4 linked regions of the Lonchura striata genome follow. The main gene of each other region encodes a partner of the protein of the gene in region 3 in a complex. Links are inferred from orthologs where the notes say so. Each region holds a gene or a part of one and is shown on either strand. Other genes may lie near its edges.

What was found.
Region 1: PIGP (region 3) and PIGQ share a complex: the UniProt entries of both Homo sapiens proteins name them as parts of the glycosylphosphatidylinositol-N-acetylglucosaminyltransferase (GPI-GnT) complex. The link is inferred for Lonchura striata from reciprocal best matches to the Homo sapiens genes PIGP and PIGQ.
Region 2: PIGP (region 3) and PIGY share a complex: the UniProt entries of both Homo sapiens proteins name them as parts of the glycosylphosphatidylinositol-N-acetylglucosaminyltransferase (GPI-GnT) complex. The link is inferred for Lonchura striata from reciprocal best matches to the Homo sapiens genes PIGP and PIGY.
Region 4: PIGP (region 3) and PIGH share a complex: the UniProt entries of both Homo sapiens proteins name them as parts of the glycosylphosphatidylinositol-N-acetylglucosaminyltransferase (GPI-GnT) complex. The link is inferred for Lonchura striata from reciprocal best matches to the Homo sapiens genes PIGP and PIGH.

What each region holds. Positions count from the first base shown.
Region 1 is NC_134618.1:2,699,547-2,706,998, forward strand, and holds the start of PIGQ (phosphatidylinositol N-acetylglucosaminyltransferase subunit Q), read right to left. Parts: upstream 3,206-7,452; 5' UTR 3,117-3,205; intron 3,011-3,116; exon of another isoform or gene 3,006-3,010; intron 1-3,005. UniProt on the Homo sapiens protein: Part of the glycosylphosphatidylinositol-N-acetylglucosaminyltransferase (GPI-GnT) complex that catalyzes the transfer of N-acetylglucosamine from UDP-N-acetylglucosamine to phosphatidylinositol and participates in the first step of GPI biosynthesis.
Region 2 is NC_134606.1:58,611,338-58,617,963, forward strand, and holds PIGY (phosphatidylinositol N-acetylglucosaminyltransferase subunit Y), read left to right. Parts: upstream 1-5,353; 5' UTR 5,354-5,385; coding exon 5,386-5,616; 3' UTR 5,617-6,065; downstream 6,066-6,626. Other genes in the region: putative E3 ubiquitin-protein ligase HERC4, read right to left, coding at 1-28, 681-780, 1,151-1,334, 2,376-2,455, 2,634-2,688, 3,707-3,879, 3,973-4,113; PYURF (protein preY, mitochondrial), read left to right, coding at 4,456-4,508, 4,847-5,095, 5,212-5,353. UniProt on the Homo sapiens protein: Part of the glycosylphosphatidylinositol-N-acetylglucosaminyltransferase (GPI-GnT) complex that catalyzes the transfer of N-acetylglucosamine from UDP-N-acetylglucosamine to phosphatidylinositol and participates in the first step of GPI biosynthesis.
Region 3 is NC_134604.1:114,838,907-114,846,877, reverse strand, and holds PIGP (phosphatidylinositol N-acetylglucosaminyltransferase subunit P), read right to left. Parts: upstream 3,001-7,971; 5' UTR 2,927-3,000; intron 2,838-2,926; exon of another isoform or gene 2,583-2,837; 5' UTR 2,564-2,582; coding exon 2,482-2,563; intron 1,682-2,481; coding exon 1,609-1,681; intron 1,151-1,608; coding exon 1,032-1,150; intron 800-1,031; coding exon 669-799; 3' UTR 166-668; downstream 1-165. Other genes in the region: E3 ubiquitin-protein ligase TTC3, read left to right, coding at 3,031-3,108, 5,898-5,943, 7,288-7,420, 7,863-7,947. UniProt on the Homo sapiens protein: Part of the glycosylphosphatidylinositol-N-acetylglucosaminyltransferase (GPI-GnT) complex that catalyzes the transfer of N-acetylglucosamine from UDP-N-acetylglucosamine to phosphatidylinositol and participates in the first step of GPI biosynthesis.
Region 4 is NC_134608.1:32,903,112-32,910,522, reverse strand, and holds the start of PIGH (phosphatidylinositol N-acetylglucosaminyltransferase subunit H), read right to left. Parts: upstream 3,098-7,411; 5' UTR 3,088-3,097; coding exon 2,908-3,087; intron 1,101-2,907; coding exon 891-1,100; intron 285-890; coding exon 201-284; intron 1-200. Other genes in the region: ARG2 (arginase-2, mitochondrial), read left to right, coding at 5,525-5,641, 5,761-5,833. UniProt on the Homo sapiens protein: Part of the glycosylphosphatidylinositol-N-acetylglucosaminyltransferase (GPI-GnT) complex that catalyzes the transfer of N-acetylglucosamine from UDP-N-acetylglucosamine to phosphatidylinositol and participates in the first step of GPI biosynthesis.

The sequences.
Region 1 (7,452 bases), on a different chromosome or scaffold from region 3:
AGTCCCGGAAAGGTCTTTCATGGTGGTATCCAGATAAGCACAGCCCATCAGACCAGCCAAGATCTGGCATTCACCTAGCCTAAGATCTTGAATCCCATGCTGGATGTGCTGGAGCACCTCCTAGAGAAGGGACTACATCATAGCTCACTGTGGTGCCTCTGGGGAGTATTTCCTGCTGCTATCAACAATCAAACACCAGTTCATGCTATTCGGTCTCCTTTACCACCTTACAACCCAGATCTCTGCAGCAAACTCACAGAGCCACCTTGATCCCATCACTCAGCTCCTCCTGCCTCACTCCTCTTATCAGGAAACTGAGACAAAAATTTTGTCAGAAGAGACTATAGTGATTAATTGAAGTAGTTTTAATTCATTAGATTCAACAGCCTAAAAGATGAGAACTTTATCAGCGCTCTTTATCCTTAGTGCTTTTCTCCCCATCATTAAGAACACATCTCAGTGGCCTTGGGAGACTTTTCCAGAAAGGAGCTTTGAGGCAGTTGACAGTGTCTCTTTAAATAAGGTGGAGGTTTCTAACAGGAATATAATTGCAGTAAGGAGGGCGCTGGCGCAGAACAGGCAGCATCCGGCGCCCGCTGTCCTTTCCTGTCCTTTCCCGTCCTTCAGCGCTTTGTTAGGGATGTGAAACTCCACAGGGCCCCGAGGCTGCTCCTCTGCAAGGGACCAGTCAGTTGGAAAGGGAACACAGAGGGTATTTACAACACAGAGAGACCATGCGCAGAGGGAAGGGCCTGGTGGCTTTTTCCTCTCCCTTAGGAGAGGACAGCTGAGCCAGTAAAGCTCAGCGCCTGGGAACTTCCTACTCGGAGGGATGGAGGAGCAGTTATAGGGAGTGATTAACCTCTGGGGTTAATCACCCACAGTGGGGTAATCTGGGGAGTTGTGGACTCCCCATCCCTGGCAGTGTCCAAGGCCAGGTTGGATGGGGCTTGGAGCAACCTGGGACAGTGGAAGGTCCCTGCCCATGGCAGGAATGGGACTAAATGGTCTGTAAGGTCCTTTCTATGTCAAACCATTCTATGATCTATGGCTCTTCTGAGATCCTGCTTCCTCACAGACTCCAGGTCTCTGAGGTTATCCCTCTGGTCACAGAGGGAAAATTAAGTCCCTCTGTGGCCTCTAGATCTTGCTGGGGGTTGGAGGATCTCTGGAGCAGTGAGGGCCAATGCTGGGTGCATTCAGAACCTGTAAACACTGTGCTTCCAGCACCATACTGCCAACAAATTCCTCAGGAGAGGGAAGTCTTGGGATGTACTTTGCAGTTTTGCAGTAAAAGGGAAAATTCAGTCCAAGGAAAAATATCAAAGACAGTCCCATGATGTTTTTCCCATCGAAACAAAGAGAGTTGTTGTGAGTATTGCTACAAGAGACTCTCAGTGTCTATGCATGACTGTCCTTAAAGGTCTGTCCATCCACTGGACATTTTAGAAAGGAACTGTCAACTGACTCTTCATACACACACTTATTTTTCACTGAGATTGTTTTTAAAGATAGCCACAATCCTCTGGGAAAACTTCTCATGGAGCAGAAACACTTGACATCCTTATCTTCTCTAGTTTGTGCGTTTTTCCTCTTACACCTTCCCCAGCTTCTAAAATTAACATAGTTTTGTGCACCCAACTACTCTGGCTATAGCTTGGGTCAAATGATCTGCCCTTTGGCTGCTTGAGGCATGGCAGAGAAGATTCTGATATGACTTTCAGGCTGCACAAAATATCTTGATAGTTGAAAACCTGGCTGATCAACTATTGTTATGTTAATGTTCTCATATTCCCAAATCCATGACTTGTCATGCATCTACCTCATTCATTTCAATAGACTGAAATGTCAAATGTCATCACAGTCTGCTTCACTGCTGCTAATTTTAACAGAAAAATCTTACCAATGCTCATGCAGTCCCTCTTCATCAAGTGCCTAAAATCTTTGAGATCCACCTATTTCTTGTGAAAACATCCACCTTTCCTTGAGAGCACCAATGCAATGACCTCAGGTAACCAAAACAAACAAAATAAACACCACCTAAAATGTGTTAATACAACCAACAAATGAATACAGGGCCCTAAGACTGATGGATTCCAGAGTTTTTGTTAGAAAAGCGAAGGTGAATGGTGGGATGTGTCCATGGTTTCACCCCAGAGAGTGTCCTGTGGCCAAGGGGTGCCAAGGGGGACAGATCCCATAGCAGACCCACACCTGAGCATCCCATGATCCTTGCAGGGGGGTTAGGGCCAGGATATAAAGAATCATAGAACCGTGGAATTGTAAAGGTTGAAAAGCCCTCTATGACCACCAAGTCCAGTCAGTCATTCCCCAGCACCACCACCACCACTAAACCATGCCCTCAAGTGCCACATGCACACGGCTTTTTGAACACTTCCAGGCCAGGCATTCCATGAGCCTGTGACAGTGCCTGAGCATGCTTTACGCGAAGAAATTTCCCCATCTATTCTATCTATATATAAATTAAACCTCTCCTGGCACAACTTAAAGCCATTTCCCCTGGGAGCAGAGACCATAGCATGGCCTCAGAGATGGCAGCAGGGAGTTGTGCAGAGCCACAGGGTCCCCCTGAGCCTCCTTTTCCCCAGGCTGAGACCCCCAGCTCCCTCAGCCCCTCCTGGTGCTCCAGCCCCTTCCTCAGCTCTGTTCCCTTCCCTGGACACGCTCCAGCCGCTCAGTATCGTGAGGGGCCCGGTGCTGACCCGGCCCGGCGGGGGCTCCCGGTGCCCGCGCAGGCTCCGCGCGCGGCCCAGCCCGGCCCGCCCGCTCCTGCCACCCGCTCCTACCGCCCGCCCGTTCCTGCCGCCCGCTCCCGCCGCCCGCCCGCTCCCACCGCCCGCCCCGCTCCCGCCGCCCGCCCCTGCCGCCCGCCCGCTCCTACCGCCGCCCGCCCGCTCCCGCCGCCCGTTCCTACCGCCCGCCCCTGCCGCCCGCTCCCGCCGCCCGCCCCGCTCCCGCCGCCCGTTCCTACCGCCCGCTCCTACCGCCGCCCCGCTCCTACCGCCGCCCCGCTCCTCCCGCCGCCCGCCCCGCTCCCGCCGCCCGTTCCTGCCGCCCGCTCCCGCCGCCCGCTCCTACCGCCCGCCCGCTCCTACCGCCGCCCCGCTCCCGCCGCCCGCTCCGCTCCGCCGCTTCCGCCCGCGGTTGCCCGGAGACGCCGCTGCCGCCGGGTCGTGCAGCCGGACGGGCCCGGCCGGCACCGCCACCCGCCGCCCGCGTTCCGTGGTGCCGCGGCTCCCCGCTCCCGGCCTGTCGGGCCCCGCCGGCCCCGCTCCCGCCGGCGCCGCTCCCCGGGCTCCACCCGGCGCCTTCCCGCGGGCCCGAGGGCGGCGGGGCCGCCTGAGCCGCGCGATAAGGAGCGGTAGTGCCCCCCTGCCCTGCCACCGCCCCAGCTGGAGCGGGGCCAGGGCCCCGCTGTGCTCACGGGATGCTGCTGGCCCCATCCCCACAGGCCAGGGGCTCACCTGTGCTCACAGGACTCCGCTGTCCTCTGTTCCCAAAATCGAGCGGCCCCGCTGTTCTCACAGGACCCTGCTGTCGCTCATCCCACAGGCCAGGCACCTTTCCATGTGGGACCCCGTTGTTCCTCATCCCCAAAGTCCAAGGACTCACTGTTCCTCAGGGAACCCCGTTGTCCCCCATCCCACTGGTGAGGGACTCGGCTGTGCTGATGGGACCCTCTTGACCCCCATCTTGACTGCCTCAGTGGATGTCTGGCCCAGCAGAGACCCATGGGTGCCCACGGGTGCCCAAGAACTTTGTCCTGTGATCCGGCCGTGGGCTTGGGCCAGTGAGCCTGGGAAGATGCTAGGCAGCATGAAGAGGTCCCACATGGAAAGAGAGAGCAGGTGCAGAAGTCGGGGTGGGCTACATAAAAGATTTTGGGGTTTAGTTTTATTGTTGGATGCCACAGAATTGGAAATAAGATAGGGGAGATTAAGTCTTGTGGGAGGGAGCTCAGCTTCCTGCAATGGGAGAGGCTGATCCCCCTGTTTCTGCAGACCATGCAGCCCCAGTCCCTGCTGCTTGCCTCACGCTGCGGGGAGAGGGGTTCTGGAGAACCTCACAGGGTGTCTGTTGTGTCCAGTGCCTGTTCCAGAGCCAGGAGGGAGCAAGGCCCTCTCCAGGGATCATTTGGGATCAGAGACGGTGACTTGGGTGTGGGACACCATTAGAGACAGAGAAGTCATTAAGCTCCGTGCCCACACCGAGGGCTGGAGCAGGGAGAGGAAAACGCCCATCCCTGTGCCGGCACACCCTGCCCACCTTCCCCTGGCCCTTGCTGATAAAGGCAGCAAGACGTGCTGAGCCCTCCTCTCCAGAGGACAACAGGATGGTGTCTGCCCCAGGATGTGAGGTAGTCTGAGGAGTTCCACGATTCCATATGGAATTTACTCCGTGTAGTGGTTGTTGCTTCCCTGTAGAGGTCAGGAATGCAGCACAGAAGGAGTTACCTTCATCTTACCCTTTTCCTGACGTCTGCTGCAGACCCAGTGTGCTGTTCTCTGATTGCAAAACCCACCCTAATAGCCTGGGAATGAATTAGGACAGACCAGTTGGCTCAATCATGCCAGGCTGGACAGGGCTTGGAGAAGCATGATCTAGTGAAAGGTGTCCCTAGTCATGGCAGGGTGTAGATCTAGGTGATCTTTAAGGACGCAATCCCAACCATTGTGTGATTCCATGATTCTGTGAGCGAGCATGGACTTCTAGCATGGCCTTGCCTCTCTGGTCATGGTCTGGCATCAGGAAGATGGGACCATGGCACATCAAAATCACATGGAGAGAGGAGAAATATTTATATCAGCTTTGGAAAACACTCAAGGAACCAAGGATGTTGTGATAACAAGTTTGCCAAGGCACCAGTGCAAGGCCAACTCTTGAGTTGCTGGGTCATCCTTTACACACTCTGGTGGGTCCAGAGCTGGTCTAGTCCTAGAGAAGCTGGGGGCCTTTAGGCAGTCAGGTCTGGGGCAATGTCCCATCCCTAGAAATGTCCAAGGCCAGGTTGGATAGGGTTTGAAGCAACCTGGTATAGTGGAAGGTGTCCCTGCCATGAAATGGTCTTTACAGTCCCTCCCAACCCAAACCATTCCATGATTCCATTACAGGAATCTTTGAGAGCAGTGGAGCTCTCAGCACCCCAGCAGATGCACAGCTCAGTGGGGCTGCAGGGAAACCATCCCCCCTCCCCACCTGTGTGTTTGGTTGGGGTCAGCACGTGATGTCCCAGCATTGGTGGGTCTGTACCGGGGTCTCACACAGTACTTAAAGACTTTGACACAGTTCTCCACTGTGTCTGCCACAAAGAGGTGCCCAGAGGAGGAGCAAGCCATGCCAGCAGGCCTCCGCAGCCCCGTGGACACCAGGCAGATGGGAGCTCCATGCTCTGGGAATAAGTGGACTGTACGGCGCTGCTCGTCTGCCACCAGGATGCTGCCATCCGTATCCACGCAGACCCCAGCAGGGTTGCCAAACTGGTGTCCATATTTGCTGCTGAGAGAGCAGAGGAGCTTACAGCTGCTCATGAAGACCTTGACATCTCCACACTCTTCACTCACCACAAAGCCTCCACCGGGCACTGGACTGATGTAGCGAGGTCCCTGCAGATTTGGGACAGAGTGCACATTGAGTGTCCTGAAGGTATGGTCCAGAGCAAAGCTGTGCACTTGACCTTGTGCATAATCTGCTATCAGGATCTTGCCCATGGAATCTACTCCAATACCCCTGGGGGAGCCAACCTTCCTGACCTTTATCCATTCCCTCTTGGAGAGGTTGGTGTAAGGGTTGAAGACCCAGATGGCTTCATTCACCATGTCAGCTACAGCCACCATTCCCATCCTAGTCACAGTCACATCTTCCGGCAAGAAAATGCTGCCTCCCTTGCCTGATTGTTGGCAGGGCAAGGACTGCAGTGTGTGGCCTGTGCTGCTGAGCACGTGGACCCAGGGAGCACTCTCAGCTGTCACGTAGATGGAGCCATCCAGGGAGCAATGGATTCCACTGACACCCCCGTAGCGGCTGCCGGTGGGGTTGGGAATCTGCCGGACCAAGTCATCCTGGCAATAGTGGAGGAGGTTCTTGATGTTGTCCAGATCTCTGCACAGGCTTTTGGCCTTATCTGCCAGCTGGTGGACCTGGTGCTGGGTCACCATGCCCATGCCACTCTGGCTGTGCAGCACTGGGCTGGCTGACTGCAGTGTGGTAAATGACTTCACCTGGAGGCTGTAGATTGTTTTCAGAAGCTTCTGCTTTAGCTGGCTGGTCTCCAGCGTGTAGTCCATGACAAATCTCTTGTCCCTGTTTGGGGGAAGCAGTTAGGACCATGACTGTCCCTGCCTGCTGCCATCTCTGAGGCCATGCTATGGTGCTTGCTATCTACCCAGGGTCAAGGTGTTGGTGCTATTCTGGATTCACTTCATGCCAGAGAGACCACGTCACTTTATTGCCAGCTAATTATAAAATAAAGACAAACAAGGACCATGGCATAGAAATTAAAGGGTCAGCAAACTGGACCTACACCTGGAGGAACAACCCAAAAAGGTCCAACAGCTCCAACAGCTCAACTGGTGTCAGATATGGCCTGAAGATTTATGTGTAAAGGTGAGCCCTGTGTGTGAACTTATTGAATGGGACCTCAGACTCCCCAGTTCCTGAGATAATGACTTCTTTCAGGTCTTTAACACTTGTTACCCCTATTTTGTGTGAGCCTCATCTCTCCAAACCAAGCTCAATCCATGATAACACTTGAGTCACTCAGGGTGATCATTCCCCGACTCCCACATGTCAGATGTCAAACGTGGCCAGGGCATGTCTTTGCTCCAGGCAGCCCCTTTCCCATCCAAATAGCTTCACAGAATCACAGAATATCCTCAGTGGGAAGGGACACGTCAGGATCATCCAGTCCAGCTCCTGGCCCTGCACAGACACACCAACAATCCCACCCTGGGCATCCCTGAGATCATTGTCCAAACTCTCCTGGAGCTCTGGCAGCCTTGGGGCGGTGCCCATTCCCTGGGGAGCCTGTGCAGTGCCCAGCATTCTGGAGGAAGAACCTGAAGGAAGAACCTCCTGCTTCTGGAGACACAAGGCGTAACCAGCGTGTTATGGAGGAAGAACCTTTCCTGATATCCAGCCTAAACCTCTCCTGACACAGCTCCAACCATTCCCTGGGTCCTGTCCCTGTCACAGAGAGCAGAGATTAGTACCTGCTGATCAAGTAATTTCTGAAGTAGCCAACAACTTTTCAGGAAGAAAAGGGGAGATTCTGCTCTGAAACATGCATTCAATCTTCACCATTTTTTTCAGACAAGAGAACCCAAATTTTTCTTTTGCACACTTTTCCTCAGTCTTAAAACTAGGCAGTGATGGAAGCCCAGCTTTGCTATGTTATCCCCAGGCATGGCTGGAGCATGGCTTACAGCACACAGC
Region 2 (6,626 bases), on a different chromosome or scaffold from region 3:
GAGATTCGATCAGATCCTGACAAAAAAGCTGAAATAATGAAAAAAAGAAAAACAAGAAAAAGTTAGCAAATTGAAAAACAGAATAATCAAATGTTAACTGAAAATCATTAAAATAATTAATGTTAATGAAAATCATGAAGGGAAAATAGTGAAAACATACAGATATTTTTCTAAGCTAAGTATTATGCTTTGTTGAATTTGCAGCTGAATATAGATAAAAGTCTCTTACCTATTCACAGTAGTTACAAGCCCTCTTCTACTCTAGATTATAGACACTGTGGATGAGAAAGGCCAGGCTAGGTCTGGCCTTCTACCTTTAAAAAGAATGACCTAGCTTCTGCAACGCTTTGAGAAGGGTAAATTGTTTACATCAACACAGTGTACTCTCACAAACTGCAGCCTCTGACCAACAAAAAAACCACAAAAGTAAGGGATAAAGTAACTGCAAATTTCAGGGTGGTCCAATGCACTGGGCAAACCTCAGGGGATGTGAGAGGGGTCTGAGTTGTCCCTGTGCAATTCCTTGTGTTATTTTTTTGTGGTTTTCTCTAGAAAATGTGGCAGCAGCAGGGGTGAACACATTGAAAAGCTACTAATTAGAACTATAGTATAGTATATACTATGTGTGTTGTGGGGGGAAGAAAAGGGCTATGCAAAGTTTAAAATGACTGATATATTACCAAGCAACATTTTCTTTTTTTCTTCTGGTAACTTGTGAAACACAGTCCAAAAATTTCTGATGGTTTGATCTAACTTTGTATACTGTCTGTATGTCACATTCTGTCAAAGAGATAAAAATAAAACAGGCCAGGTTTATATTTCAATTTTTCCATTTATATTTAAAGCAACATTTTGTCTGATACATTTTATAATCCTGTTCATAGATATTCAAATCCCCTTAACCTCTGGAATCTGCTTGTTCATTTGTTTTTCAAAGATTCATATGACAATCCCTGAGTTATGGCTTGATACCTATTCCCCTTTATTCTTGTGGCTGACATAGATTAGAGGCAGAATATAGACACTAATCAAAACAAGACAAAGTTCCTTGAGCTTCTGTCCATCTGTTATGCACTCAATGAAAGAACAGGTCAGAAGTAGTTTATGCTTATCAGACAGAACAGAAGGACACTGTGCTTGTATACAATACCTTTTCCAGCAGATGCCAGTCAAATGTTGTGCATCCCTGGAGAAGAACTTGCAGCTCTTCAGGGAAAAACATCTTCCAATTTCTAGCTGGGCAGCCTCTTAAGAACCCTTGCATAAAGTCCTCAAATGGCTTCTTTACTGATTTATTGAACATATAATTCACATACAAATCAACATATTCTTTCCTGCAACAGATACCAAACAAGCATTGGTGGTGCTTTTCTAAAAGAAGAATTACAGAGAACTTTATACTTAATTCCTTTATTCCATATGACCTGCTTTGGTGTACAGACTCAGTCTTCACTGAGATCAGTTGTCAATGGCAGTTAGTTTTTCACTGAGTAAGCTGGGAGCATCTTCAGAAATAAAAGCGAATGCTGGCCAGAATGGATTCATTTTGGTAACACTCCTTTTTCTTCATGTGAATGCTCCAATTCCTGTCAGACACCTGGTTATTATAAAAGATGGAACCTAGCAGACCTAACTCCCATTGAATGCCCAAGAATTTCCCTGAAATAGAAATAAATATTTGCATAGCTGTTAATAGTTTCACTCTTATCTCTACTTCAGATGGGGATTTGTGTAGTGACATTGTACTATATGATCAATTCAATGTAAATGCTCTACTTCAAGCTTCTTAAACAGCCCTTTCATGGATCCTTATGGGTCCTCAGGTCATCTGCATAATTCAGGACACAAAATTTATTTCTGTCCTCTGTGCAGAGATTAATATTGATACATAATAATACATAATAATACACATAATAATATTGTCATAAAGCCTTATTGATATATTTCTCCTTCTCCTTTATGTACAAGATACATTCCATACACATAACTAAGCAGGAAACATTTTGCTCTTAAAGAACCCTTACAGAGGTGTGCTGGGTTTCACAAACAAATGATTTGTTTCTGCCTGAAAATACTGTTCAAGGTTATTTTTTACATTTGTTAGGAATTTTCCTGTTAATGCCAGGTATCTGTATATGCAGATATCAGGATATCCAAGGATCACCATGTTATCCACTGCTTGCACAAACTGACAGTTTTTGCACGTGTGCAGCAAGTACAGCAGGAACTGAAAGTGTACAATCTACTGGACCAAGACTAATGGCACAAAACAGAAGTCAATATTTTCTAACAATATATGGGGATGGGTGCAGACATGTTATTTCATACATTTGTAACAAGAAAACAGGATTAAGAAATATAAAAATAAAACTGACCTGTTATCCTTAGTGACAGGAATGTTGGCACCATTTTCTTTAAGTTCAACAACATCCGTGGAATCTCCTCCTTCCATTATCTATGCAAATAAATTAAAACACTGGCTGCTCTATCTATATGTGACAGATATTTATGTGCTACACCTCTCATTCCTCCTGAAGGGCCTGACATGGCATTCACTAGTCTGAGTTTACAGACAAGTTGTGGTCTTTGCACTGGGACATGTCTTGCCTGAGTACCTACGTAGGATGTCTTACCGTGAAGTCCAAGTCCAAACTATCACTTTCATCATTCAAAATTTTCCGGAGACTCCTATCCAAACACAAAAGGGATCAAAGAGAGAAGAAATGTGAGCATTCAGCGCACTTGAAAATTCTGCTAAAAACATCTTTTGACAGGCAGTATTTAAATGCATACATGTACACAACACCTACACTTAGACATAAACATGATATATGGCACTGAAATTTCATCATGCTGCTGACATAAGCTCAGCACAAATGCCTCCAGTAAAAAATGTTCCCAGGCAAGTCCATCCCCATGCCCTGTGTGCACAACTTTACACAAAGTTCAGTGACAACTGGGTTTGGAATCATTGCTTCCAGACATTATCTAGTGAGGAATTATGTGTGCAACAGAGAGATGATCTGGGAGAATTGTTATGGGGTGCATCACCTTTCCAAGTATTGCAGGCAACCTTGTGTTCCAATTCACTGAGGAACCTCAGTGAATTTAGCACTTCAACACAGTCACTGGGTCATGGGATGGGGTTCTCATCTTCTTGGTTGCTTGTATCACTTGCCTGGAAAACTGGGCTTCAGGGGCCTCGAAGCATTATGTTGGTGGCAGCAGCACCTCTGCCCCTTATGCCTGCCTGATATCTCCTCTCCCAGTGCATGGAAACTTTGTACAAGGGTTCTCAGAATTGGCAGCACTTTGTAATACTGTACTTGTGCAAGGCAATATAGTGGAAATTGATAATTAGTAAATCAGGAAAAAAATCCCACCATTAATAATTGAGTCATTAGTTCTTTAAAGTCCAAACTACAGCCCTTATATATTCACAGGGTGGATTTAAACTCTGGTGGAGCAGAGATCTGACACCTTCTAAGTCACGAGGTTTGGCATTTTGTTTTGGCAATGCCAGCCTCTGAGAGCAACATCCATGCCCTGGACAAGGACCTCCTTGGAAATCTGACCAAGGACCTCCTTTGTGGCTTCTAGCAGCTTCACAAAGGCAAATGTAGATGCTGTGGGTGCCCCAAATTCAGCCTCTGGGATCTCCCAGTGCATGGTCAAGTCAAGGGACCCAGCCAAAGCTGGGTCATACCGGCCCATGGTTGGCAGCAGATCCTCAAGGTCCTCTAGGGTGGGGACCAGGTCCAGTAGCTTTTTATAGAGAGCCCTGGGGAAGGGGAAGGGCACCATGCGCAGGTTAAACAGGGCCATTCCACACAGTGTCCCAATTAAGAGGAAGGTGTCCTCATCCTCACAGCTTCGGGCCTGGTTAGGAACAAGCACAACTGGTTAGGAACAAGCCATGACTGCCTTTTCCCATAGGTGGGGCACCCATCCACCCCTGCAGGGCTGGCTTACCTCTCTGGGGAACCACACGAGGCCGGAGGCGAAGTGGCAGAAGGCACTGGTGCTGGGCTGGCAGAGGGTCCTGGCTGCAACACTGAAGAACTCCTGGGACACCGCACCTTCGTCCACCCCCATCTCACCCAAAAAAGACACCTGCAAGGCCCGAGACACCCGCAGATAGAGACATCCATGTTGGCCACAAAACCAGGTTCCTTACCTGGTATGCAACACGCCAGTAATTACACAACCGAGAGACGCTGATTATTTATCTCACAGTTGTGCCAAGCTGGGTACTCGGTAGTAATCCACAAATCAAGCACATTCCACCAGACTTTTTGAGCCATTATTTGTACACAGAAGTTCAGAGTTAGTAACTGTCCAAGTCTGTTATGCTTGGTTAGCAATTTTCAAACAAGTTCCTTAACCCCAGATAACTTCCACACATGCTCAGGGTAAGGGTCTTCAACTGGGCAGGGGTCTCACTGCCCTGTGGGCATGATTTTAACTATTACAATTAACACAGTTCAGCTACAGGCTACGTGGACCAAGTTAGCAATTCATATATGGACAAGTTAGCAATGTATATACATCAACATCTTCATTTACTGCATCTTTAAGGCTTTTCAGTTCCCGGATGTCCTTGGCTAGGGAATGCTGGCTGCTGCCTTTTCCACTGACTAGGTCTCCTTTTTTCCTGATTAAGCTTGACAGTGTCCAAAGATCACACATGGAAAGGCATCCGGCCTTAGGATAACCTTGATCCTCCGTGCCCTCGGAACGCCGCGCAGGGGCGGGCCGGGCAGAGCGCGGCGGAAGCGGCGGCCATGCTGCGGGGCCCGGCCCTGCTGCCGCTGCTGCTGCGGCGGCCGGCCCGCCCCGGCCCCAGCCCCGGCCCCGGCCCCGGCCCCGGCCCCGGCCCCGGCCCCGGCCCCGGCCCCGGCCCCGGCCCCGGCCCCGGCCCCGGCCCCGGCCCCGCGCACGGCCGGCACTGCCATAGCCAGCGGGAGCAAACCTCGGGCTCGGCCTCGGGATCCGGCCCCAACTCCGGCTCGGGCTCCGGCTCAGCGTGGCCGCAGCCCCTGGAGCCATCGCTGCTGCGCTTCCTGGTGTGCCCGCTCTCCAAGCGGCCGCTGAGGTGAGGATGGGGCGGGGGAGCCGCGCCCGAGCCCTGCGCGAACCCAGGTTAGTTAGTCCCTGCTCCTCATGTTTTCGCTTGGATGTTTCTCCCCCTCTCCTGACTTGGCTGACCAGGTACGAAGAAGCTACGAACGAGCTCATTAACGAGGAGCTGGGCATCGCGTATCCCATCATCGACGGCATCCCGAACTTGGTTCCGGAGGCGGCCAGGAGGACGAACAAGAAGCCGCCGGCCGAGGGTCCGGAGCAGCCGTGAGGAGCCGCCGTGCACGGCGCTCACCCGGCCTGATGGCCGGAGCAGGGCTGCTGCCCTCCCTGCCCACGCTGACTGTCCTCGTTCCCCTCCTGTCCCTGGCAGGCCTGTTCTACTCGGCCAGCGTGGACGAAAACTTCCCCCAGGGCTGCACCAGCACAACCAGCCTGTGTTTCTACAGTCTCCTCCTTCCTGTTACAGTACCAGTTTATGTGTTCTTTCACCTCTGGACCTGGATGGGGATTAAGCTTTTTAGGCACAACTAGTGCAGTGCCTTTGCTAACCCCTGGCTTCTCTAAATCAACATAATTTGTTTAATCTCATCAAGTATTGCAGTTCATTTTGAGAGTTTCCCTCTGGTACTAGGGACTGTCATAATTTTCCTGGTAGGATCTGGAACTGTAGGAAGCAGCAGCCCATTGTTAACTACTGCTAATGCACATGAAGGGTAGGAGTAATACAAAGCACTAATTCCCTCACTTTTATCCCTTCAAGAGTGCTGTGCATTTGTAGTGGGACTAATTAGAACCTTAGGTTTCATGAGGAAGAACTGTACCCTGACTGAATAAACTAGATTAAAATTAAAACATGCTATGATATGAATCTCTCTGAGAGCTTTGGGGCTTTTTAACCAGATGTGTGTACTGAAATATGTTTGTCTCACTGTCAGAAGAGCAAAAATTAAAATACATCAGGCTGGTGTTTAATAACAAGACTTGAGATGAGTCAATTGAAGACATTTCTTTCTGGGATGATACCCATGTCTGTATGTGAAGTACATGCAGATCTTTTCTTTCTAGGGCCACGATGAGAATGCCACATGCCAAGTTCTTAACAGCACACAGCTATGAAGGGAGCAGGCCAGTGCTACAATGAAGGTTTCTTCTTTATGTTTTGCTTTTGGGTAGTTTGTATCTGCAATGCAAAACATATTAATGTCCTTTGAAACATGAAATTGCTGAAAAATTAAGAAATGAGGCACCAAGTTGTAAATGCTGCACCAGGCTGTAAATGCTGTGGGACACTTAACAGTGCAGTTACATTTTTCAGGCTGCTGCTGAATAATATTGTGATGCACAGTGTGAAAGGCAGTGCTCAGGAGGTGTGCCCAAAGGCTGACTTGAGCTAAGGGCAGCTGGTTGTCAGAGCTTGTACAATAGGTGGAGACTTGAAATATAGAGGACAGTACAGAGCACACCCTCACTGCCTCTCTAAATAAATGCCTCTCTCAAATAGTGAGGAGCCAGGAAGGAAAGGTAGCTCTGGGAGTCTTTGT
Region 3 (7,971 bases):
AAATCTTCACAACCCACCTTTATTATTTTTGGTAACTCGGTAAATCTGATATTTTGGGGGGGTGGGGGGATCAACAGGTTTGGCTGAATAAAGAATTGTGTGAAGGAAAATGGAGAATTTATCACCTCAACCCAGGAGAAACCTCCCAGAATCACAAGAAAATGGTGAAGATGGAAAAATCAGTTACATTTTATTAATATTTACAAAGGCAAATGATATATTTACAATGCAAACACTTCCAGTTAATAATTGAAAAAGATCCTCAAGTGTTTGACTGGCAAAACACATTTTTCTCTCCCTGAATTTAAAAAAAAATAGAATTAAACTGTCTAAAAGCTGCTTTTTTTCCCCGCTCAGAGGGGAATTCCAAGCAAAAAGCTGCAAGTAACAGAACACTTTTCAACCCACTTTTTTAATTTTTAAATAACAACCAGATAAATGACTGGGGCATAATTTTCAGAGCAATGCAGGTTAATAAGGTGCATAATAATAATAATAATAATAATAATAATAATAATAATAATAATAATAATGAAGCCATATGAATTTAATTAGAAATTCAGGGGAAAAAAAGCTGAAAGAGTTTGTTTTTTTTTTAGCTTGGAGAGGTTTTAATCGTTCCTCAGTAATTTTTATCAATCCTTTGTCCAAACAGATTTTAGTAACAACTATCTGCTATTGCAGATGCCTTTTTCAGGGAGAAAAAACATCCTGTTGACTTCACTGATGGGAATATCTCTCAGGGCTGGAATTGCCTCCTCCTGGAATTTCTTCTGCTGCTGCTTTTTTGCAAAGTTATCTACAAAAGATAAGGAGAGCATTTCATGGTTTCCAGGTCCTTTTCTTCCAAGAGTATGATATAATTTTATAAGGCAGCACTACAAATTTAGCTTACTTTAAAGGATGCTGAAAACCCCACCAGGGCTTCCAATAAATCAAATATTTAAAGGCTTAAATTTCGGGGTTTATCCTCTATAGATTTCCAGAATTCTCAGTGAAGGATCCAACTTTTCAATAAGCAGTAAAATCACCTGTGATGGTGTGAGTGGAGTTGAGTGGAGCTGTGCTCATCATGTTAATCCCAAAAAGCAAAATATAACCAATTCCCACAGCCACCAGGAGATAAACTGGCAGAGCAACTGCCCAGTACCTGAAAAAAAGGATTTGAAATTTTATATTTAGTAACAAATGCCTACTAATGAATTGGCTTTAATTGTTGGCATTGTACCTGTGATGAATTTCTACAAGAGGAAAAGCAGCAGCACCTCTGATTATGAATCCTGATTCCACTGGAGCTACTGATAAACCATCAGATAAATTCCTTCAAAAAGGTCTTTATTGTTTAATTATGCCCTACATTTTACTGTATTTCCACTAGCAGACTTCCTAAAAAGCAAAATGTCAAATTTATCCTAAAGCATCCCAATATTATTTATTTCATGGCACAACAAAACCTTTTCACCTTAGCTACATTTTAAAAATGCTTTAGAAACATTACAATTCTTTATCAGCATGGGAAAATTGATTTTATTCTAGGCCCTTATTTAAAAATAAAGTTTTTTATTTGAAAATAACTAAGATTAAATTTATTTTATTGGCTGAACTTACTTTTGAGGCCAGTATGTCAGTCCCAGGGAGAAGAGCCAAGTCTCAGGAATATAAGCCCAGATAAGGTACAAAACTGCACAACAAAATCAAAAAGTCACAATAAGACTGATGGTGTTTTAGACTTCCTAAGTTTTGCTTTTATTTAAACTAAAATACCTCTCCCAAAAGATTGCAGGACAAATCCTGCCCAGCCCCTGGTTACACGGGATCAGTTTTGTTCTTGCTTTAACATTTAATTTCTGATTTCCTATGAAGACAGCCAAGAATTTACTCCAAATTAAACTGCAGAACAATAAAGAAAAAAAAAAAACCAACAAAACCACCCCCAAGCACCTCAATAAAAAGAAGCCAAAGGAATCTGAACAGAGATACTATTAAAGCAGAGAATGATCTCACAGAGGTCATTTTATGGGAAGAAAACCGGGTGGAATTGTAGTGTTTGGATGGAACTGTAATGAAAATTACTGAAAATCCTTCCTGATTCTTCTTGGGGGGGAGTTGAGCCCAACTCCCCCTCGTTTCTCACTGCCCGACGGTGCCACACACCCACAGCAGGATCCTGCACTGAAGGATATTTGCAGCACCTTTTCTTGTGCTGGAAAAGTGTTTTCTACCCTCTCAAACCCTGGATCCCCAGTGAAAAGAAGAACCCATCACATCAGCAGGGAAAAGCTGATGGAACCTAAAATATTTTACACTTCTGTTGACCAGATTATTTTTTTTTTCATTTTTTTGGTGGGGAAGGTAACACCACAACTACCTCCAGCGCTTAGTGAATGTGAAAATGAGCGTGATTCGAGTAAAAAAAAACGGATTTAAACGGGAAAGCAAAGCAGCACTGCGGGGTGATGGATTCGGCTGCGCGATACTCACTGAAGCCAAACCACGAGCCCAAAAAAAGCGCAAATCCGTAAATTGCCCTTTCTGGCAGCGGGGCCGGAGAGTTCTCAACCATGCTGGGCTTTTGCCTTTAACTTCGCGGGGAGTGCGGAGAACGGGACACGAGGGTAGCAGAGATAGATAAGGGACAGCAGAGATAAGGGATAGCAGAGATAGATAAGGGATAGCAGAGATAGATAAGGGATAGAAGAGATAAGGGAGCGCTTTGGGGGGGCCCCTGTACCCGCGGCTGCGGGGGCCGCACCCCTCCCTTCTCCCCGCGCCCGGCTCTGCCCCTTTGCTGTCCACAGCCTGGCCCAGGAGGAGGAGGAGGAGGAGGAGGAGGAGGAGGAGGAGGAGGAGGAGGAGGAGGAGGAGGAGGAGGAGGAGGAGGAGGAGGATGATAATGATGATGATGGGGGAGGAAGGCGCTCCCTACCCCCGCTCCCCCATCCGCCACCGCGCCGCCTGCATCCGGCCACGCGCGCAGGCGCACGGCCCGCCGATTGGCCGCGGCCCGTGACGTCAGAGGGCGGGCGGCCAATGGGCGGTGCGTCCGGCGGGCGGGGCGCGCCGGGGCGGCGGGAGCGGCGGCGCCGCGGCAGCAGCGGGATCGGAGCGGTGCGTGCGGGATCCGGGCATGGATACCGGGACGGAGGGATACAGGGATACAAGGATGGAGGGATACAGGGATACAAGGACGGAGGGATACAGGAGGGACGGAGCGGTGGCCGCTCGGCCGCCTTCCCCCGCGCCTCGCCCAGCCCGGAAGCCCCGGTTTGTGCCCGGCACCGTGAGCGCGCCCCGGGCCGCACACGCGGTGCCGTGAGCATCTCCGGGCTCTGGGAGCACCGGCACGGACGGCGTCCCCTTCTCCCCTTTGGCAGGATAATCCACGCGAGCGGCGAGCCCGCGGTTTTCCGGGATCGGGTGGCGGCGGAGGGGGGAGCCCGGGAGCTGCCGGGACGGGGCGGGGTGTTCGGCATCCCGGGATGCAGCCGTGATTCCCGGGATCCAGCCGTGATTCCCGGGATCCAGCCGTGATTCCCGGGGGTGCAGCCGTGATCTCGGCATGCAGCCGTGATTCCCGGGATCCAGCCGTGATTCCCGGGGATGCAGCCGTGATCCCGGGGGTGCAGCCGTGATTCCCGGGGGTGCAGCCGTGATTCCCGGGGATGCAGCCGTAATCCCCGGGATGCAGCCGTTATCCCCGGGGGTGCAGCCTTGATTCCCGGGATCCAGCCGTGATTCCCGGGATGCAGCCGTGATTCCCGGGGCTGCAGCCGTGATTCCCGGGGCTGCAGCCGTGATTCCCGGGATGCAGCCGTGATTCCCGGGGCTGCAGCCGTGATTCCCGGGATGCAGCCGTGATTCCCGGGATGCAGCCGTGATTCCCGGGATGCAGCCGTGATTCCCGGGATGCAGCCGTGATCCCGGGGCTGCAGCCGTGATCCCGGGGGTGCAACCGTGATTCCTGGGATGCAGTCCGGGATGCAGCCGTGATCCCGGGGGTGCAGCCGTGATTCCCGGGATGCAGCCGTGATTCCCGGGATGCAGCCGTGATTCCCGGGATGCAGCCGTGATCCCGGGATGCAGCCGTGCGGCAGGGCCCGGGCTCCTGTCGCGGTGTAGATCAGAGTCAGTGGCTGCCTGAGCTTCCAGCCGGGTTTAGGATGGCTTGCTCAGCGTTAAGCTGAACTTGCCCAGAGTTTAACAAGAGCAGCAGAGTGAGCTTTAGCGCCGTGGCTGTTGGAAGTGTGGCCCAGCTCCTGAGTTTGTCTCTCTGGTGTGTTTTCACCCTCCTTTTCTCCCAGGGTGATGTGCCATGGCTGGTCCTCTGTCCACCTTTGTAGCGGCTCTTTTTGGAGGTGGTCCGGCCTCCTTGGATCTGGTAAGAGGGGTTGGAGCTTGATGGGAAACTTGCAGGATGTTCCAGGGGAGTTTTTACCTGGATCTGGCCCTGGCACAGGGTGCCCAGAGCAGCTGGGGCTGCCCCTGGATCCCTGGCAGGTTGGACACTGGCCTTGGAGCAGCCTGGGACAGTGGGAGGTGTCCCTGCCGTGGCAGGGCTTGAGTGGGATGATGTTTGAGGTCCCTCCCGTCCCAGATCATTCTGGGATTCTCTGATCACATCTCCAGAGTGATTCCCAGTGTTCATGAACTCAAGCTGTGTACAGGTACCTCACACTGGCCATGATTCCCTTCCAAAAATCCCAAACTGGGGCAGAGCCAGAGCTGGTGTCCCCTGTGAGCAGGGGGGGACTGCTGGGACAGCTCCTGCCAGCACAGCTTGCCCAACCTCTTGGTCCTGTGGCCATTCCTGGGCTGCTTCAGCTCAGCCTGGCAATCAGCCCCTGCAGGGCAATCAGCTCTGTATTCCTGGGATTTCAGCTCTGTATTCCTGGGATTTCAGCTCTGGGCTCCTGGGATTTCAGCTCTGACTCCTGGGATTTCAGCTCTGGGTTCTGGGATTTCAGCTCTGTATTCCTGGGATTTCAGCTCTGTATTCCTGGGATTTCAGCTCTGGGTTTTGGGATTTCAGCTCTGGCTCCTGGGATTTCAGCTCTGGGTTCTGGGATTTCAGCTCTGGGCTCCTGGGATTTCAGCTCTGTATTCCTGGGATTTCAGCTCTGGCTCCTGGGATTTCAGCTCTGGGTTCTGGGATTTCAGCTCTGTATTCCTGGGATTTCAGATCTGTATTCCTGGGATTTCAGCTCTGGCTCCTGGGATTTCAGCTCTGGGCTCCTGGGATTTCAGCTCTGTATTCCTGGGATTTCAGCTCTGGGCTCCTGGGATTTCAGCTCTGGCTCCTGGGATTTCAGCTCTGTATTCCTGGGATTTCAGCTCTGGGTTCTGGGATTTCAGCTCTGGGTTCTGGGATTTCAGCTCTCTATTCCTGGGATTTCAGCTCTGTATTCCTGGGATTTCAGCTCTGGGCTCCTGGGATTTCAGATCTGTATTCCTGGGATTTCAGCTCTGGCTCCTGGGATTTCAGCTCTGTATTCCTGGGATTTCAGCTCTGGGTTCTGGGATTTCAGCTCTGGGTTCTGGGATTTCAGCTCTCTATTCCTGGGATTTCAGCTCTGTATTCCTGGGATTTCAGCTCTGGGCTCCTGGGATTTCAGCTCTGACTCCTGGGATTTCAGCTCTGTATTCCTGGGATTTCAGCTCTGTATTCCTGGGATTTCAGCTCTGGGTTCTGGGATTTCAGCTCTGGGTTCTGGGATTTCAGCTCTGGGTTCTGGGATTTCAGCTCTGGCTCCTGGGATTTCAGCTCTGAGTTCTGGGATTTCAGCTCTTCCCTGTGGGATTTCAGCTCTTCCGTGTTTGCTTTTTGGCTGTGCAGTGTACTAAATGGTAAATATGTAAATATATACCTGTAAATATGTAAATTATGTGTTTATCTTTAGTGTCGTGAAACATTTGGACATGTTGTGCCGCCTCGTCCTAAACCAGGTATTGAAACTAAACCAATATTCTTCCATTTCTTGGATCTTTGGATTACTATTTCATTTTATTTTTCCTTATGTTGCTTGAAAATTGGTTTATTATTATTTTTTAGCAGAAGCATTGTTATATTCTGTTACCCTGGAACAATTATCATCTATTTCCTAATCTAACTTAAATATTCAGTAATATTTACATAAATGCAGGCAATTAATGCTGTGAGGATGGAGATTCAAAGCTGGAGGTTTTAGCTGTGTGGGTCTAAAGAAAACTTCCAGTTCTTGGTTTTTTTTTGTTTGTTTGTTTGTTTGGTTGGTTGGTTTTTTTGGTTTTTTTTTCTTTTGTTTTTTTGGTGTGTTTTTTGTTGTTGTTTTTTTTTGGCAGGGAGGGTTTTTGCAGTAATAATTAAACAAAAATTCTCAGTTGCAGAAAAGCAGGTGGCTCAAATTCAAAATTGTATTTTCTGCACAGCCCTCTAATTGGTGGGAATAAGCAGATGAACAGCTGTGGAAGAGATTTTTTTTTTTGTGGATTTTTTTTGTGCAATTTTTTGGTGATTTTTTTTTTGTTGTATTTTTGAGTGCTTTTTTTTGTTGTATTTTTTTGTATTTTCAGACTCTCAAGTGATGTTGCTCTGCCCTGAGAGTACCTGAACCCACCCCAATAAACTGAATTTCCCTTTTCATTTCCTTCAGAGCACCTGTAGCCACCTCAATTACCCCATTTAATTTTTAATTCCCATCCCTCCCTCCCTGTTCCATCCAAATTCTGGGAAGTGCAGGATGCTTTTGGGGACAAACCCTGCTCTTTTTGTGCCCTCTTGCCCTGGTTAATTCAATTATTCTTGTCCAGAATAATTCATGGATACAGGTGGAAGAGGCTGCTGTTTTCCCTGGAAAAGAACATTCCCTTCCAGCCCAGCAAGGAGAGGCTGCATTTCTCCATTTTTATCTTATTATTTATTTAGTTCAGAATATTTATTTATTATTTATCCATTCAGAACACAGGAATGCCAAACCTTCCAGCATTTCTCTATCCATAATTCCATAAAAATCCCCTCTGAAAAACCCCCTCCATGACCAGGTGAGTTCAGAGGGTTCAGATTCCTTTGCTTTGCTTTGTCAGGAATAGAGGCTGGAATCATCCTGGATTTTAAATATTGGGACCTTGGAATGCCTGAAATAATCCTTTATTTTAAGATTTACTGTCACTTAGGAATGCCTGAAATAATGACTGATTTTAATATTTATTGACACTTTGGAATGCCTGAATTAATCCTTTATTTTAACGTTTCCTGGCACTTTGGAATGCCTGAATTGTGCCCTGTAATTCCCATTTTTTCCCCCCTTGCAGAAGTTGATATCTGTGAGGTGTGGTGCAGTCAGCCTGTGGAAAAATTAAGGGAATTTTGCAATGTGATCAAAATCAGGATTTTTTGGGCTGTGCTCTACACCAAGGAAAGCACTTCCTTTGTGGATAAATCTTGGTGAGTATCCACATTTTCCAAGGGGATTCCCCTCCAAATCTTCCCACTTTTCCTTTTTCCTGTGAAAATTCCTTGGGTGCTTCCAGTAAGGCTCCAACTGGTGCAGAAATGTTGGAGTTGGTTGAGGTCAGAAGTTCTTGAATCCACAGGAAAAAAAAAAATTAAGATTAATTTCCTGAAGTTTGGAATCTTTGGGAGTGTGGGAAGCTGAAATTTGGGGGGTATTTCAGGATTTTTGTAGATGCTGACATTTCAAAAGCAGCCAAACCTTTCCAGCTCTCCTTTTTTTAATTATTGTTATTTTTCTCCTTCCTCTTCTGAGTGGCTGGACGTGAATTTTTAAACATTCTCAGATCTAATTCCTCTGAATTTTCATAAATAAGAGCCTGTAACAGCTTGGTGTTTGTCTAAATAAATAATAATTCATTCTGTTTTCCAACAGTTTGCTGTTCCTGGACTGGAACGTGAAGAAAATCTGTGAGTTCCATGTTATGGAAGACATTGCTGATTTAATTAAAAAAGTTGTTGTAAGTCCTGGATTTGAAATTACA
Region 4 (7,411 bases), on a different chromosome or scaffold from region 3:
ATTGTTTGAATGGAGAGCAAATGAAAAAACCCATCCCTAGTATGTAGTTCTGTGAGATTTCAAATGCCACACATCCTGACAGCCCAGCCAGGGAAAGGCAACTGTCACCAGCTACCTGTAGCAGAATAAAAATATGCTTAGACAACTGATGCAACACAAAGACTACAACATGGATTTCTCCACCATTCAGTCAAACTCACTTGAAAGAGTGGCACAACCTCAGATACTCCCTGAGGATCTTCAGGGTCCTGGAGGAGGATACACAGGTAGTAGATAACTTTTTGCTACAAGACAAACGGACAAAAATCATTGGAGTATAAAAATGCTGTCAAACTGCCTGGAGTTAGCACAGAAGTAGGATCTGTTTCAACTCACTGGGCTGAAGGCAAATCCTGCCAGGTCACAGTCAAGTCTACAAATTTGTATCAACAGCTTTCACTCAATAAAGAAATAACGTTGACTGTCTATTAAGTTTTTAACCTAAGAAGAACACACACATGCTGGAAGGGTAAGGTCTGCTTTTCTACAGGAGCTTTGCAAACCCCAGCAATAGGAAAAATCATTGTGCTGTCGTAGCTTCTCATCTCCATCTTGATTACATATGGAGTTGGGCATCAGGATTTGAAAGAACAGCATAACACAAAGAACGAAACCCACTAGCTCAATGACAGTGGCATTATCCAAGGGATTGATTTGGCTTTTTGAGGTTGTTTGGTTTGATTTCTCCTTTAAAGGTGAGAGATGACAAATTAAGTTGAAAAATCTGAAGCTCCTGATGTCAGTAAAGCTACGGATGGTGCTGTGTTTAATTGCTCTGGTAAATCATGCTCATGAAAATACACTGGATGTGAGTGTGCCCAGACACAAGAAGACAGATTTTGTATGATTACCATATGGATGGCTTCATTGATAACCACATCCTTCACTTGAGCCATCTCAATGAAGGTTGTGCTCTCTTTCCCTGAGGCATAGGAGGAAGTCACCTGAATGCCGAGCGAGCCGATGACCAGCAAGGATTCCTGGTCAATCTTCACGAAGTGCAGGTATATGATCAGGCCAATCAGCGTGATGAAGATGGCGGCAGAGAGCACCATGCTGTTCTGTAACACAAGCCAAGAAAAGGCAGAGCTCTGGTCTTACAGTTACTTTAACACAGCTTTAGAGAAATTAAAATTGCGCAGCAAATTGTATATTAAAGCTACAGGTGCAAAGCATTTTTACTTAGGTAGAGTCTTTTTATTCACCTGGCTGGCTGATATCTATGTAGTGAGGTTTAAGTTAGTCTTTGCAGTATGCACTAAAAGAATTGGGAGCTGAAACTGAAAACTGCGAGAAAATTCTATTCCCTTCCAAGTTCAATGCAGAAATCTCAACCCAAACAAGCCAGATGTATCAATGAGAGTATTATGCCAACTTCTAAAGATGATGTCACTGACAAAAAAGTGTTGTGAAATGTTTACAGGAAGCAAGGGTGGATTCTCAAAGCAGAGGAACCCTCCTTCAGGATAAACACTGCCAGGGTGGTTTTCTTACCATGAACTGCCAGTCCAAACTTGTTCAAACCACACCCACTTCTTGCCTTAAATACCAACCCAATGAAATTTTGCTTTATCCTGTATTTTGTGTAAGGATCAATGTCTTTTGCATGCCACAGTCTTGGGATTGCTGTTACATTTTAATATATAACCAATGACACTATAGTCACCAGTAAATCATCTGAAGACCTGGTGATAAATTCTAAAGGTCCACAACCCACAACCTGTTTCTGAGACATGTTTTAGAGATCTTCAGGCCACCTACTCATGAATGAGAGTTATAAGTGACACTTTCTAAAGGAACAGAACTGCACAGCCCTACTACCACTCAAGCTGGGCCTGTACCACCATGTGAGCAAAAGAAGCCATCGCTTCAGGAAGCACACAGGACATCTCCAAAAGTTTGCTATCACAGGGGAAAAAAACAGTCATGAAGTACAGACACTGAAATCCACAAAAAGAGAGGGGCACTTTCAGGCCTGATTTCCTGGCTAAAGGAAGAATTGCAGTCACTTGCATGCAGGCTGCAGGAGCATGTGTAAAGACAAGCAGGAGGGCAGTGGGTGCTAACCACTGACTGCAGTGTAAAAAAAGAATGACATGCTTTCGTAAAAAAAGAAATTTAATCAGGAACCATCTATTTCTGTCTGACAACTGACTCTACCTTTGTTTCTTAAGAAGGATTACTGAAAAAAACTGATTTGCAACAGTCAAAGCATGGGTCACAGTGACCAGCTTCTTTGGTCAAGCTACTGAATTCAGTCTGGACATAACTTGTCTGGGTCCAGTTTCTGATTAATCCAAAAGCATTAATTTAGGAATCAGCAGACTTTTATATCTGTACTGCAAATATCTTTCTGCCTCAGCTGTGAAAATTGATGACATTCCCGGTGCAGTGCTCCCGGTGTCACTTAGAAAAATTCCTTTTGAGGATTAAAAATCATTCACCTTATTCAATTCCTCCTTAATTTCAGATTCTCACAACTCATTTCTCCAAGTGAACACGTGTTATTTGGACTCAGAAGGATGTGCCAGGCATCACTCAGCACCCATACATCTACCCTATCTGTCAAGAGGCTACAAACCAACAGAGGCACCCGCGAAGCCACTGGGGCAGGCAGGTGGCGGCCCGCAGCCGGCAGGCTGGCACGGCCGTCCCTTTGCCGTCACACACCCACCAGCTCGGAGCGGCCGGGGCGCGGGGGATGCCCCGGAGCGGCGCTCGGCGCCTTCCCGCGGGCTGCGGCCGCCCCCACGCCCCGGGCGCCGCTAGCCAAGGCGGCGCAGCCCGCGGGACTCCTGCGCGCCCGCGGGAGGGGCGCGGCCGGCGCCGTGCCGAGCCGCGGAGGGCCCGGGGCGGCGGGGCCGGTACCTCGCTGAGCGCGAAGAGCCCGTAGGCCGCCAGCCAGACGGCGGAGGTGACGGCGCTGAGCGAGCGCAGCTGCAGGCGCGGGCCGCGCACCGCCAGCTCCCGGCAGGACGCGCTGTGCTGGCGGCGCCGCAGCGCGATCGGCACGCCGCAGGCCGAGAGGAAGCGGCGCTGCTCCGCCATGCCGGGCGGGCGGGGCCGGCCGTCCTCCCGCGGGAGGAGCCTGGCCCGCCGGCTCGGCCCGCGCCGCCTGCCTCCTCGGCTGTGCCTGCCCGGGCGTCTGTCCGTAATCTCGATTACATCAGCGCTTTCTGCGGTTTGCACATGTTGATAATTCGTTGCCTGCTTCCTCTGTTTACGGAGTATGAGTGTTAGTTAAAGGGCACACGGGTTAGTGGTGCTGCACGTGTCTCTTGACGTGATGAAGAGCCTGGGGTTTTCATGGAATCGTAGACTGTTAAGGGACTGGAATGAAACATAAAGATCATCTGGTTCTACACCACCCGCCTTGGAAAGGGACACCTCACACTGGACTAGGTTGCTCAAGGCCTTATCCAACCTTGCTTTGAACGCTGCCAGGGTTGGAGCATCCACAACCTCCTTGGGCAACCTGGTCCAGTGTCTCACCACATGCAAAGGAAAAAATTTCTAATATCTAACCTAAATTTACCCTTTTTCCATTACTCCTAGTCCTATCACTACAACTCCTGATGGAAAGACCCTCTCTGGCTCCCCAGAACGCCCCTTTAGATACTGGAAGGTTTCTATGAGTTCTCCATGCAACCTTCTCTTCTCAGGAAGGTTCTCTTTTCACCCCTTTGTCCTTACCATCTGCAACTACATTAATGGATTTTCTCATCTGTACCATGCTTAGCTAACTACAAGCTCTTTTGATTTTTTCCCCCAAGGTTTAAAGCAGAGTTTTCTGGTCCCTTGCCACTAAATACATGATAAATTGGAGACTTGGCTTTGCATACAGAGACTTAATGGATCTTTGTATTGTGTTCCCTTTAATGCATTTCAGTTATTACTTCATGTGACTGACATAGCAGTAATATAAAACTACAGCTCTGTGACTTCGTGGTGGCTCTGTGACTACGTGGCAGTAATATAAAACTACAGCTCTGTGACTTCCAAACTGCCATCCTGATTTCTTTGGCCTTTTTTTTTTTTTCCCTTCTCCCACAGTTTTTGAGTGTTAGCTTTAATTGCAGGTGCCATCTTTCTGTGAGCAATTTACTTCATGCATGGCATCCTCAGAGCTCTTGGGTGGATACTGTATGTACAAAAAAGCTGTTAACTTGTTCTCACAGGGGCACCAAAGAAGTCTTAAGGGACATGAAAAAACAAGGGGCATCAGAGAATCACTACCGAGGCCTTTGCTTTGCCTGGAGGAGTGGTTGATGGCTGCCATCCATGGGAAGTCTTGTGCAGTACATCCAGGATCCCACTCTGACACAAGAGACCAGGTGGAGGAATGGGCTTTCCTCTTCCTCTGAAGAGGAAAGGTGAGCTGGCCTGGAGGAAAAAAAAAATTAACAGCAGACAATGAAGTGCAGAAATGGAGAAGAAAATACTGAAGTTCAAAAGAGGATGAAAGAAGTTAGTTGATGAAGTGAAAGTGGAAAAAACCCAATAAATTGAAAACAGGCTTTTAAAAGATGGAAGAAAGGTTTGAAATGGCAGGTGAGAAGGACTGAAGCATGTAAGCAGGAGTTATGGCAGCTGGTATGACAGCTTCAGAGATGGGGACAAGAAGGGGAAAGAAATATCAGAGTAAGAAGTAGAAGAGGTAAAAGCACTGTGAACAGCCAGGTCAGTAAACAGGACAGAAAAGAAATATGATCTCCTGGAGGAGTGATAACAATAATTCACATTCACAACAAGACACAAAGAAGTTATTGACATACAGAGATAGGAGGAGAACTAGGAAATCTTAAGACGAAAAAGCAAAATATGCTTGGATTTTTTAATATGTGTCTCTGGCAAGTCCCTATTTAACTATGTTTCTGCCCTGTTATCTCATGAGCTGTCAGCCTTCTTTCAAGCTTGTAGATAAAGACTGGACATTCGACAGTGGGAGTCCTGTTGCCTTGTCACAGCAGGGAAAGGTGGGGACTGCCACTTCTTTTTAAATCATTTGTTAATCATCCTTCAAATGTGCCTCAAATATGAATAGCTGGAGACCCGAGAATCGTCTCAGGCCACGATGCTCTGCGATCAATATTCGAGGTAGGTGCTGAACAGGTGGTCCTTCAATGCTTTATTAAGGTCATCTGGTGATGAGCGTCACCGTTTTCCTTCGGGGAAGCCACGGAGCGGCCAGCCAGGGAGCCGGGCTGAGCTGCAGGAGCGTGCGGCTCGCACACAGAGGGGACCTACACGTGTCAGAGAGAACGAGCATCTCATCGCCAGCCTGAGGCGCTGCTCGTTCTCTCCGAGCCCCCGTCCGTGCCCCCGGCGGCGGCAGTGGAAAAACCCCGGGCGGGCGTGCGGGCGCGGGGGCGGGGCGCGCGGACACACCTCCGTGCGCGCGCGCTGCCGTTGGCCGGCGGCGCGGGGGCGGCGCGCGGCGCTAAAGAGAGCGGGGCGCGGGCGGCGCGCGGCAGCACCGCCCGCCATGGCCCTGCGCGGATCCCTCGCCCGCCTGCTCCGCGCCCAGCCCGACGCCGCGCTCCGGCCGCGCCGCGGGGCGCACTCCGTGGCGCTGGTGGGAGCCCCGCTCTCCAGGGGCCAGGTGGGCATCGCGGGGATGCGCCGGGCGCCGCGCTCGCCCGGCTCCCCTTCCCCGGCGGGGCTCGCGTACCTGGCTGCGGGCAGCGCTGTCTGACGCGTTCCCCTCTCTTTGTCTCGCAGAAACGGCGGGGAGTGGACCACGGCCCCGCTACCCTCCGCGCCGCGGGGCTGGTGGAGCGGCTGGCCGGGCTCGGTGAGCACAGCGCGGCGGGCGGGGGGTGGCGGCGGGGGCTGCGGGGCCGCCCGCGCCCCCCTCCGCTCGGGGGGCAGCGTGACTCAGCCGCTCCTGCGGGCGGGGGGAGGCGGCTCCCGCCTCCGGTGCCTCACGGAGCACACCGTGCCCCGGCGCCGGCGGTGCCCGCAGCCCTGCGGAGGCGTCGGGAGGGAGAACGCCCGTCGCATGCCGCACCGGGAGGAGCCGCAGTGGGCCCTGCGGGGGTCCCGGAACAAAGAGCGGCCGGTGGTCCCGGCTCCCCGGCCGCGATGCGCTCCGGCTGCCCAGAGCAGCGGCACGCAGCCGAGCCGGCCGCGCTGGCGCAGCGAGCGGCGCACGGAGCGTGTGATGCTCCCCTGCTGACTGCCGCGGAGCGAGCGGCCGCCCGAACTGCTGTGCGCGCTCGTGGCATCCAGAGAAGGAACTGTGACTAACCCTCGGGTTAGCACGTAGTGTGGGCTTTGCCTTATTTTTTTTTTTTTCTGTGTTCGTTACCAGTTTGTTCCTAAAAGATTCGTATGCTTCCAGGTGATGAAATTCAGAATTTTCTGGAGAAATCGTCAGTTTTATATAAGAGGTCTTGTGTGAAGTCTTTGAAAACGCTTGCAAATGTCACCCTGTGAATGGGCTGTTTCTCGTCTTTTTGTGCAAGCAAATCCATGCACTTAGTTGTGATTCAACTTCTCACATCTATTCCGTCCACAAGCTGCAGAAAGCTGTACCACATTTACTAGAAACAGGACACGAGGGATAGAAATTTGTAAAGCTGAACTGTGTCTTGGAGAATCTTTAATCTAAAGAGTGTTACTGAAAATGGTGTGATGAAGATGGATTGCAGGGATGTACCACAGAAAGAACCAATATCTTCTCCCTGGGTGGTTAGTGTCAGTGGAGTTTAGATGCACACAGAGATAATTGCCTAATAACCCTCTAGCAATTTTATTCTGAATGGTAAGAATGCTTCTAAACAGAAGTAATTGTTCTTTGTAGCCCTGTAGGCTTATCCTGCATATCTTATGATTCACAAGCTGAAAAGTCCCAGTTGGCAGCCAGATGTGTAGATATTCTTTTCCATTCTTGTTTTATGCAAAGTATAGACATTGCCGTTGTTGGCAATACTTGAACTCTAGTGAGAATGAGCTGTAATTTCAGCAAGTGTGGAAGAGGGCATCTAAAAGAGGTTCTTTGTACTGGAATAGTTACTTAGTCTAAAGTTTATCTGAAATTAATAAAATGCTAGGTTTGAAAGGAGGATGCTCTTCTAAATAGTGCTGTAGGCAGCAGATTACTCAGTATCAATAACAGAATTTTATGCTGGAAGTCTTGGGGTTCTCTTTCAAATGGTATTACTCAGTATCAATAATAGAATTTTATGCTGGAAGTCTTGGGGTTCTCTTACAAATGGTTTAGAGCTAATGTTTCCACTTTGAAGGAATTCTTTGAGGAAAAGCTCAAACCCACAAAACCCAACCAAATTAAAAACTGGAAGACAAAACCCTCTTATTTGCCTGACACAAGCTCACTTCAATAGGAGCTTGCAGAAGGTATAAAGAAAGG